3 linked regions of the Schizosaccharomyces pombe genome follow. The protein of the gene in region 1 binds, or shares a complex with, the protein of each later gene. Each region holds a gene or a part of one and is shown on either strand. Other genes may lie near its edges. The genes, in order: mhr1, mrpl23 and mrpl25.

What was found.
Region 2: mhr1 (region 1) and mrpl23 share a complex: the UniProt entries of both Schizosaccharomyces pombe proteins name them as parts of the mitochondrial large ribosomal subunit.
Region 3: mhr1 (region 1) and mrpl25 share a complex: the UniProt entries of both Schizosaccharomyces pombe proteins name them as parts of the mitochondrial large ribosomal subunit.

Annotation. Positions count from the first base shown.
Region 1 is NC_003423.3:1,799,567-1,803,069, reverse strand, and holds mhr1 (mitochondrial 54S ribosomal protein mL67 ), read left to right. Parts: upstream 1-1,779; 5' UTR 1,780-1,811; coding exon 1,812-2,339; 3' UTR 2,340-2,857; downstream 2,858-3,503. Other genes in the region: SPOM_SPBC18H10.18C (uncharacterized protein), read left to right, coding at 1-331, 377-714; vacuolar membrane cation-chloride cotransporter Vhc1, read right to left, coding at 2,858-3,503. UniProt on the Schizosaccharomyces pombe protein: Component of the mitochondrial ribosome (mitoribosome), a dedicated translation machinery responsible for the synthesis of mitochondrial genome-encoded proteins, including at least some of the essential transmembrane subunits of the mitochondrial respiratory chain.
Region 2 is NC_003423.3:4,218,077-4,221,255, reverse strand, and holds mrpl23 (mitochondrial 54S ribosomal protein uL13m), read right to left. Parts: upstream 1,484-3,179; 5' UTR 1,354-1,483; coding exon 1,333-1,353; intron 1,291-1,332; coding exon 838-1,290; 3' UTR 640-837; downstream 1-639. Other genes in the region: scs2 (VAP family protein), read left to right, coding at 1-311; mrz1 (ubiquitin-protein ligase E3), read right to left, coding at 1,776-2,582. UniProt on the Schizosaccharomyces pombe protein: Component of the mitochondrial ribosome (mitoribosome), a dedicated translation machinery responsible for the synthesis of mitochondrial genome-encoded proteins, including at least some of the essential transmembrane subunits of the mitochondrial respiratory chain.
Region 3 is NC_003424.3:4,993,021-4,996,459, forward strand, and holds mrpl25 (mitochondrial 54S ribosomal protein mL59), read right to left. Parts: upstream 1,488-3,439; 5' UTR 1,425-1,487; coding exon 1,026-1,424; intron 915-1,025; coding exon 876-914; 3' UTR 604-875; downstream 1-603. Other genes in the region: lipin, phosphatidate phosphatase Ned1, read left to right, coding at 1-314; meiotic recombination protein Rec24, read right to left, coding at 3,010-3,439. UniProt on the Schizosaccharomyces pombe protein: Component of the mitochondrial ribosome (mitoribosome), a dedicated translation machinery responsible for the synthesis of mitochondrial genome-encoded proteins, including at least some of the essential transmembrane subunits of the mitochondrial respiratory chain.

The sequences.
Region 1 (3,503 bases):
TTACATTCTTGTCCTTCATATTCAGTCAATAATCATGTAAACAATCCAATTGTCAAACAAAACTCAACATTAACACAACCATCGTTACGAAAAAAAAATACAATGGCTGCACCTGCTAGATTAAGAAAGCGTTCGGAAAATGTGCGACTTACACAAGCTAGATATGCGATATTTCATATCTTCCTTCCTTTCATTCTTACTTTATTGCTTTATCATAATTTTTATAATTATTTCGATCAGGCATTGGCGGATCTTAATTCTGTGGTTAAATATGTTATTGAAACTATAGTGTTAATATTTACATACGTGATGACAGTGATTATTGTTTATTGTAAGTTTTTGAGATGATTTGAATTCATGGCTAACGATTTTCTAGTTTCATTTTCGTTAATTAAATTAGCGTTTGAAGAAGCTTATGTTTATGCACCATCTGTAGCTAAAGCGAATGAAGGTCTAGCTAAACATGTAGCTAAAACGATTGCAGGCCTAGTTAAATATGTAGCTAAAGCAATTCAAGGTTTGGCTCATATTATTTTATCCTTACTGTTGTTTATTCTCGGGCTCGAAGTAATAGAACAAGATGAAGAGACTGGCGACGTTGAAATGTCGTCTATGCGAGGCCAAGCAATTACCACAGAGCCAGCAAGTGACAACACAATGGCTGAGGGAACCGATTGCAACACTTCTAAAGATGTAGAATCGGGCAGCAGCTAAAAGTCATGGCTAGAAAAAAAAATCAAGGGGCTGCCAACCAGCTGCGAGTGTCTTTTTTATTTCATTACTAATTTTCTTACTTTCCTGCAGAAGCTCCTTTTTTCCCCTTTATTTCTATTTCTTGTATTATTACCTTATACGCATTGTCACTTAATCATTTCCGATGACAGTCATCACTCTTTTTCCATACATACATTTTTGTCTCTGTTATAGAGTAAACACGATGTGTTTCTGTGGTGCTAGGAAAAGTCATTTAACTAATGAATCTGGTTGTCAATTATAAATTAATCATCCTCTTTATTGTTTTACCAAATTGATATACAATCCTTAATTATGACTTTGTAAGATTTGCGAATTAAAAAATTGAACAAGTAAGGCATTACTCAAAAGACGCAAAGTAGTGATTTAACCTTAGTTTCTGTTTAATGCATAAAATGAGGATTCCATATATCATTTTCAAGTGTTCGGAGCTTTAAAATACAGTATATACAGGAAATATAAGTTCAAACTTGTTTCTAAAACAAATAAAAATGAAAAATCAATTTGGTGTAGAGCGAAAACCTATTTTAAATAATGCGATTTCCCAATTCCTGGTCAGTAGCAATTTCTTTACAAAAAGAATTAAAAAATTATTCAATTTGTATTATATGAAATCTTTCGTATTCAAAATCTACCAACATTCAGCCCAAGCGAAAAGTAATATTTTTTGCTATGTCCATAGGTAACAATATAATTTATTTCAGAGAACACCCATTGAAATTGCTGCTTATATTAACTGTGTAACATAATATATTAGGTCACAGAGAGATTCATTGCACTTTAAGTATCGTTAAGCAGATACCGAAATACGTGAGCGACACTTTAAATAGATATTAAACTGCGTAGCTGACCAGTATTCAAATTTTCCGTCACTCACCGTATCATTAAAACATTTACTGTTTTTGGCTGCTCAACGCGCAATGCTGCCTAACATCTGTGCTAGCAAACGATATGTGTTTATTGGGCACAACGTTTATACGCGGACGCGCTATTAACAAACTTCGCATCTCTTACAAGCATATATGTAAACAGCCAATCTGTACTCGTAAAAGGAAAGAATGCTTGAAAAGAACAAGTATCTCTATATATTTAGGCATATTCAAACGAATCAGGTACTTTTATCTCAAGGAAATGTTTTAAAAAAGACTGCGTTGTTTCAACTTCCCTACCCACTTCAAAAGCCAGTCGCTCCAAATGGTATGCGACCCGCTAAGCTCCGTAAAGACCATTGGGTTCCTTTACTAAAAGTCGAATTTCCTAATGAATCAATGTTTCAATCTGTTTTTATGCAACTGTTAAACTATCGAAAATATCGTTCTGTTCAACCACTGACTAGTGACCTTTTGAAATTGCCTATACCCGTTCGTAGAAGAAAAATAATGCGACAAGAGGTTCCTAACACGATTGCGGACTTGGCAGATATTTTAAATAAAGAAAAATTTCCCGAAAATTCCGTTCGTTTGCAACTGAGTGATAAATCCGATAGTGAATATGCAGATTGGCCCCCTAGTGTGCAGATTGATTCAGAGGAAATTAAACTCTCGCGAGGTTTCCGTGAAAAAACAACCGTAGACGAAGCTAGATGAAGCATAATATCATTACTTCTCTCACTTTCTTCCTTCAAAAACACCCCTCATCCATTTTTAGGCTTTCTTAAAGGGCATTATATGAAGTATAAGCTAACACATATTCATATTAGCTCAATCTTTTTTACTTAATGATAAAGTCCTTTTTACTAAAGACGGTTACGAATTCTTCCCAGTGTATCCAGTGTATTGCACTGGACAGCTTCCTTAGCTTATCATTGTACTTCAATGCGAGAGTATTGGCTAGATACTCAAGACAAGATAAATTTAATACAAATCGACACCAAATACTCGTATCTTTATTATTTTACCATTTTGAAGTTTTCGAGCTCCTATGAAATATATGCAAGATTAACTCATCACTTTATTGCCTCGTTTTTTTTTTGTTTAAAGTTTGGTCCAGAATAAAAAAAAAATATTAGCATCTAAAATAGAAATCATGGACCAAATATTTAAATAGTTATAACAATGCCAAAAGAAAAGACTTTATAAACCAAAGACATAAATACCATAAATCGTTAAAGAGCGGTAGTTATAGTTAAACTCTTAGAGTGGATTAATGCACAAGGAGGTAATCCTTCCATAAATATTAATAAGTCATCAACATATTCCTCGCTTTTTCGAAAGCTCTTATGAGTGTCGGCCAAAGGTGCTGGTAAAACAGTAAACAATACAGAAGTATTTTTAGTATGTTTCAGCACGATTTCATTCATAATTATGTATTGAGATCTCGAGGATAAATCGTTAAACGTCAACTTCTCTTTAGAATAGTCCCTTCCTATTTTTTTCTTTGGTGCTAGTCTATCAGATGAACTATCTTCTCGGACCACGTTGGGCATCAGAGATGACTCAATAGTACTGTCAGAATAAGTTCTTCTATTTTCTTGTTTTGGTGATAAAGAACGGTTTCCGAAAGAAGATTCAGTCTCAAACGACTTTACTGAATGCATATGTGGCCCAAGGCGGAAACTCAATGGCACACTTAAAGGTGGAGCACTCTTATCAAAGCTGGCAGATCTAAAGTTATAACCAGACATACGACGTGGAAAACGAATAGGTCCTAAGGAATCTACAGTATTTCCTCTTCTTTTCTTTTCTTCCTGCCACCACGAGTCATCTTTCAGTAAGTTTTCAAGCTCGGAAGACTTGCTAGGTCTCACATGC
Region 2 (3,179 bases), 2.4 Mb from region 1:
ATTTATCAGCTGTCAATGAAGAATTTGATACTAAGAAGAATGATTTCGATTCTAAACTTCCTGAATCTACCCCTGCCGTTGAAAAAGTTTCTGAAAATCTCGGATCTGAAACTCGTGAATCTTTACAAGGGGCAAAACCTGCTGCAGGTGCTCATAGTTCCGACAACGCCTTGGAACAAATCAAGCCCTCTTATTCAGCTGACCCTTCGAGTTCCACTGGTGCTTCTTTAACCGAATCTCCAGGAATTCCTCCCAATATTGTTATCATTCTTTGCCTGATTTTCTTCCTTATTGGCTATCTTTTCTTTTAAAATGTAAAGCGTAGATATGTTTAATAAGAAGTGTAAAATCTTCTCCCTAAGTTAATGGCTCTTGATTTTATTACTTTATATGGCCTTTGCTAAGCAAGGTTTTAGGTTGACGTTTGTTGAATTTGTTTGCTCTTCACAACGATAGGGTACTTTTTAGCGCGTTTATCTGGCTTTGGAGATAATTTCCAAATGTCGTTATTTATGTCGACGTCTCATGTTATCTACTTTTTACTCGCAAGAAAAGTTGTAGTCCTCTTATGGTTACCAGACATTCATTCTTACCAGTTCACAAACGTAAATGTGTCTTTAAATACATTACAGCTTCTTATAGTGAATACAATAACATTAATTTATATAAAATAATTTTTTTTGGAAAGAACAATATTAAAATGTGTTAGCTTTTTAGGGCATACGACATTGTGGAATGTTCAAACATTAATGCAAAAAATCAATGAAATTTAAGTGAGTAGGGATATGGCTTTTGTTCTTTGAACTACCTTTTAAAATTAAAGGAGATTTTAAACACTTATTTCGAGAATAATTCCTTCGCAATTTGCGAACTTACAGGATTATGGTAGGAACGAAATATGTTTGCCTTATAAGGGTGTTCAGCTCCATCGTAAATATAAAGACGTTTCATTCTCCTATCCCAAAGCTTATTTCTTGGAAGCATTCCACCAACTGCTCTTCTCAACAAATCCTTGTGCCCCCGTTTCGCAGCCATTTCTTCCATCGTCCACTCTTTAAGATGACCAGGCTGACCCGAATGTGAATAATATTTATGATTTTCGAGTTTTCGACCAGAAATCCCAATTTCAGAACAGTCAGTGACTACTACGACATCTCCACAGTCTGCTGCAGGGTGATAAATGGGTTTGTGCTTGCCCATAAGAGTAGTTGCAATTTGGGAAGCCAGCCTACCTAGAGGAACATTTTTTGCAGAAACATGATGCCAAACTTTGGCGTAAGCCAATGCTGTCTGATATTGTTAGTAAAAGAAACTGTCAAACTAATTTCATACTTGTCCATTCAACGTTGACATCGCGTTGAGATTTCTATATCATAAAATCCTCAGTTCCTTCTGATTTTTCTCTTAAAGCGACAGTACAATATCAGTGGTTTCTAATAAAAGAGAAGTAGGAAAATTGCTCAAATAATGTTTCCTCAAGCTTGTAGGTGTGGGTAAATATTGGATGCTAAGCAACTGTAGTAAGGTAACTGTTACCTACAAAATTTCTATTTTTCAAAAATGTTGTTTTATTTATTATTTCTTAAATATTGATTTTTCAATTCATAATACGAACCTCCTTTACTAATCATGATAAAGCTAATAGCTATTGCTTCAAAAAATACCATTTGTATATATTAGAAAAAATAAGGCAATGAACGATACAATGATAAAACTAATTTTTGATAAGCCCAAAGAATCACAGTAAATTGCAATAATATACAATTAACGCTTGATTACGAATTTTCCGTCTCAGGACCAGATTCATGCTGAATGTTTTCAATTTGACTCAACAGCTGAACCATTGTTAAGCCTTCCGGACCATACAAATATCGCTTGCTATACAAGTAGCTGCTTATCGACAATGGACGGAATTGTAAATATCTTTGCAATTCATGGAGGAGTATAGAGGACTCTTCATGGCCTATAAATTCCGCTAATTCATCAATGGTTTGTGGATGTTGAATATTCTGAACTCGTAAGAGACCCATCAAAAAGATTTGTATAAAGTTAATTTGATGTCCATCTAAATATTCAAACAAGAGAAGTTCTTTAGCAATAAAGCTTTCCACTTTCTTTAATAAAGATGCGCTAGAAGCTAGTTGGATAGGAGTGGGTATTTGATATTGCCTATGTGATGAAAGCGAGGGATTTTCATAGCTTTTCCATGCCTTTTGATAGATGAAACGTCGTACGCGTAGCAAATCGGCCAATCTGTCAGTGTTTTCGCTGGAGGAAAATGAAGGCTGCCGTAGTAATTGTCGTGAAATCGAATACTGATTTGACCCCAAAGATTGAGTATACCACTTCTTATACAAACTTGACCCATGAAATCCATAAAACACACAATCTACGTGTCTCTTACAGATGGGACATGTCAAGGATTGATCCATCCAGCGACATATGCAAGAATAATCGAACTGGTCATGCCCACATGGAGATAGCTGTGCCCGAAGACCATCTTTTTGTAAACATATAACGCAATCTCGACGAAGGTAGCGAGAATTTGACGAGTTTTTACGTACAAGGAATTGCTTTTTCATTCTTCTTCTAAAATTTAATAACTTGTTATATTGTATTTATGCACTAAATTAATTGATGTGTATGAAACCGCATGAATGGCAGAATGTCAAGTTATCTTGTCATCAAAAAACATTGTGTGCTTATTCTTCTTAATGGAAAATTATTCAAGTCATAATTTGCAAGACTTGTTGAATTTTTTAAGGTGAATTTTCACAATCGTCGTCTTACACTAGATGTAGGCTAAGTTATGAGAACAATTAACAATTCGCAGTTACTAAACTGAATCTCTTCTGTACGCTCTTCGTAACGTTAACTTAGCTTAACGCGGTTAATGCTATATGCATAATACAAACAAAGAAGTACATGTTAATGTTAGCAGAACTACACTAGCTATGATACAGTACGTTGCGTATCACTATATGTCATATGCTAAGATATTACTTAAGATTCGTTTGCTGATAGATGCGGATAAATTGCTTTTCTGCATACATAAATAAATTGCTAAAAACTATTAGAAAGATTGTAAATAGAGCTACCACTGAACCTCGTTCCTCAGCTCAGTTATTAGCTATATCGGTGACCGATACTAATAGACTTCTTATAACAATAAATATACA
Region 3 (3,439 bases), on another chromosome or scaffold:
AGCTTGTCGATCATTTCTTCCCTCCCATCGAGGTTAGCACCCGAGATGAAGTCTCAAGCTTTACTGATGTGAATTTTTGGAGATCTCCTTTGCTTGAACTTAGCGATGAAGAAGAAGACGATACTAATAAAAGCACATCCAAGTCGCCCAAAACACCCAAAAATACGAAATTCGGATATCAAGAATTCGAGGGGATTGACGAGGAAGATGCTCAAGATTATTCTCCTAGTCCATTGATTAAGTCTTTCAATGAATTAATGTTTGAAGGTGAAGAAGATGAAGAAGGAGAAGAAGACGTTGAAAATGCTGTTTGAAGTTGCATTTTCCCAATTTCCGATGAAAAAAAAATTACTCGACTGTCCATCTTTTTTTTTAATGCCCCAAAATCTTAAAATCACTTTGACGAATTTCCGTCGGCTTTGAAATGCACTAATAAGCTTAGAAAGTTACATAAATCATATAATGACTTACTTACTCATTCACAAGTAATGAGTTTTGAGAAAGTGCTAAATATTTTTTTTATATTTAAATGCGCTCTTCCTAAAAATTAAAGATAACAAGATACTTCATAATGAAAAGTTACGAATAAATCACATTCTAAAATCCTAAGTCTGCAGATTCAAAACCTAATATTTAAATGTAATTTAACTATTAAAGTAGAATCATATTATTAGTAAAGATTACAAAAATGTATAGACTAGTATATTAGTCTTTTTATCATGCTGCACAATAAAAGACTTTTAGTAAACACATAATTGAGGTAATATAGCAGTAAATTTAAATGAATCTTTAAAAAAATTTAAGGAAGTCATAAACAAACAGGAATCAAAAGGTATTAACAGTATTACGTGAAACCCACTTTGCAGAAGAAGAATTTAGAAAGGAGAAGGTTTCGCTATTTTGCTAGCTTTTTGCTAAAAAGAGTGTTAATAAAGACAATTAAAAAAATAATAATAGTAAATTTTTCACAATCAAAATCAGTAGATAGAAATAAGAAAATCATGAAAGTACAACAGTTTACATACGCGCTCATTTTTAAATTTAGAAGTTTTCTTCAATGATTCCGAAAGTTTTAAACGCCTATTTTCCAAAATCTCATCCCTCTTTCGTTCACTAATTTTTCCTTTAGGATTCAGAAGACCTTTCAAAATATGGCGTGTAGAATCTTTCTGCCATGACATTTGTTGGGGGAGTAAATTATCCAGATTCTGAAGCCTGGCCTCTTTATATATTTCAGCTTGCCTTCTATTGGAATAGTAAGGGTTGATTACAAGGCCATTCTGAGGATTTCGAGTTGCGAGAAACGGATTTTGACGATTTGGATTTGTCGTCCATGCATTTGGATTTTCAGGCGGAAACTTTTTAAAAAAGTTTCCTAATTGGATAGGAAGCCGTTCCAAAGCTTCCTTGGTAAAGACTGGCATGATAAGGTTAAAACCTCTTTAATCTATAGAGAAGCTCAAAAAGACAGTGAGTCAAGCACTATTAGTATTAGAAAATACATTGACCTAAGATGTCGGCAAACGTTTAACTGCGCTATATTACGTTAAATCAATCATTACTGTTCATTCTTGAGTTCTTAATCGAAACTTTTCATCGTTTGAAATATTAAAAGAGTTTATTATCTCAGACAATTCTAAGCCAATTTATTGACTATTAGCGTTTATTAGGTCGGACTAATTCTTAGTTACTCAATTTAGTTCCAATGGATATACTAATTAATATAATATTACGGTGTAGCAGTACTATAGTTAATAAATACAAAATTATCCAGGGTATTATTTTATACAAATATAAAAATCACTAACATATTTCGTTATTATGTATATCGTTGTTAAATTAGCAACTATACAAACTCCTTAAAATATTTTACATACTGCGTAGATGGCTTCCTCTCGCATTAGTCCCTCTACCTTAGGCATCTTTGTTGGGTTGCGTTATTTAATTATTGAAGGCTGACAGTATGTGTGATTGTGTTCCGCCAACGTAGCATTCAAACGCTTTCAATCATTATCGTTTTTAGTTGTGATTGCTTCTATGATTCCATCAAATGAGGCCCGTTCAAGTAAGCTGTGTGTGGTTATAGAGTTTCTGATGCCAGTAAAATTATCATATCAGATCATGTACGGATTCCTACTGACACATGTTGAGAGTAAGCAAAAAAAGCTCAATCATGCTTATTTTGAGTATTTTAAAACATAAATAAAAGTAAAAATTATTGTAGGAAAAGTCCGGTCATCTCTCGATGACTCCAATTAGTGGAGAATATAAGAAATACTAAAGGAATTATTTATAATGACATGTAACGCAGTGTGACATAAAGTTAGTAGTGCATAGAACTGTTGGTGATATCAAGTTGACAAGGAATCGATAAGACGCTCTTTAATGTTGAATATTAATAAGCCCTGTAAGTATCCCTGTTCTTCTAGTTAGGTCTATAGCTGAAAAACCTTCAATTCTCTGGAGCTTGTGTGGTTTTATCCATTATCACTTCCTTCGATTTATCCCTCGTAAGGAATAGGATAGCAATGCGTATAGATCAAATCGCGGATTATGAATGAAGGCTTGTGCGATAAATTTCCTTTACTTGATCAATAATCTTGTTGTCAACGCGTTGTATTAAATGCGCTTTATTGGAAAAGAAGAAACATAGCTTGTTGATTGAAATTCCAAAGTTTCTTGTAAACGAATTTGGAAAGCACTTCTGTACTTGAAAATAATACAAATTGGCCACTATATATTCGCTTTTTTTGTTCCTTTGTTTCTTTTATCCATCAATTTTTAAAAGCAGAAAACCTTTCCCTTATGCCCAAGATTTAAAAGGGAACATAATATCAAAGTTCATCGAATGGATATGATGATCAACACTTTCACCACAACGTTCTTTGTACATTGAATTTCCAGAAAAATTCCACCAAATGTTGTGAATATTTTAGGATAACAAAAGGAGTCAAATTGGAAAGGCAAGAAATGAATGTGTGTTAAATAGTGGCCCTCAATATATTACTATTAGGAAATGTCTTCGGGAAATAGCATATCTTTGAGGCCAATCAAAAGGATGGATGGAGCAGAGTAGGCACTCTTAGACAACTCTTGTTTATCAGTTTGTAATTCTTCATTTGTGATTATGTCTCTTAAGATTTGGACACATTTGCTTGCGGCAGATGAAAGCTGAGCATCGAAGGAGTGTAGACAAGGGAAGTATATCTCAGCGTACGAAAAAAAACATTCACTATATAACAACCGGATAGATGGGTTATCGTTTTTGCAATATGTGAAGCATATTTTCATCCGTTTAACAATTTGATCTAGTAATTTTTCCAATTGCTCTACGGAAGCGAATGAGAGCTTGTTAAATATCAGTTGCTCCAAAAATACGTAAAATTCCAAAAATTTCGCTCTGGAAATCACTCCAGTTCCATTGTTGGCATTGTTTTGC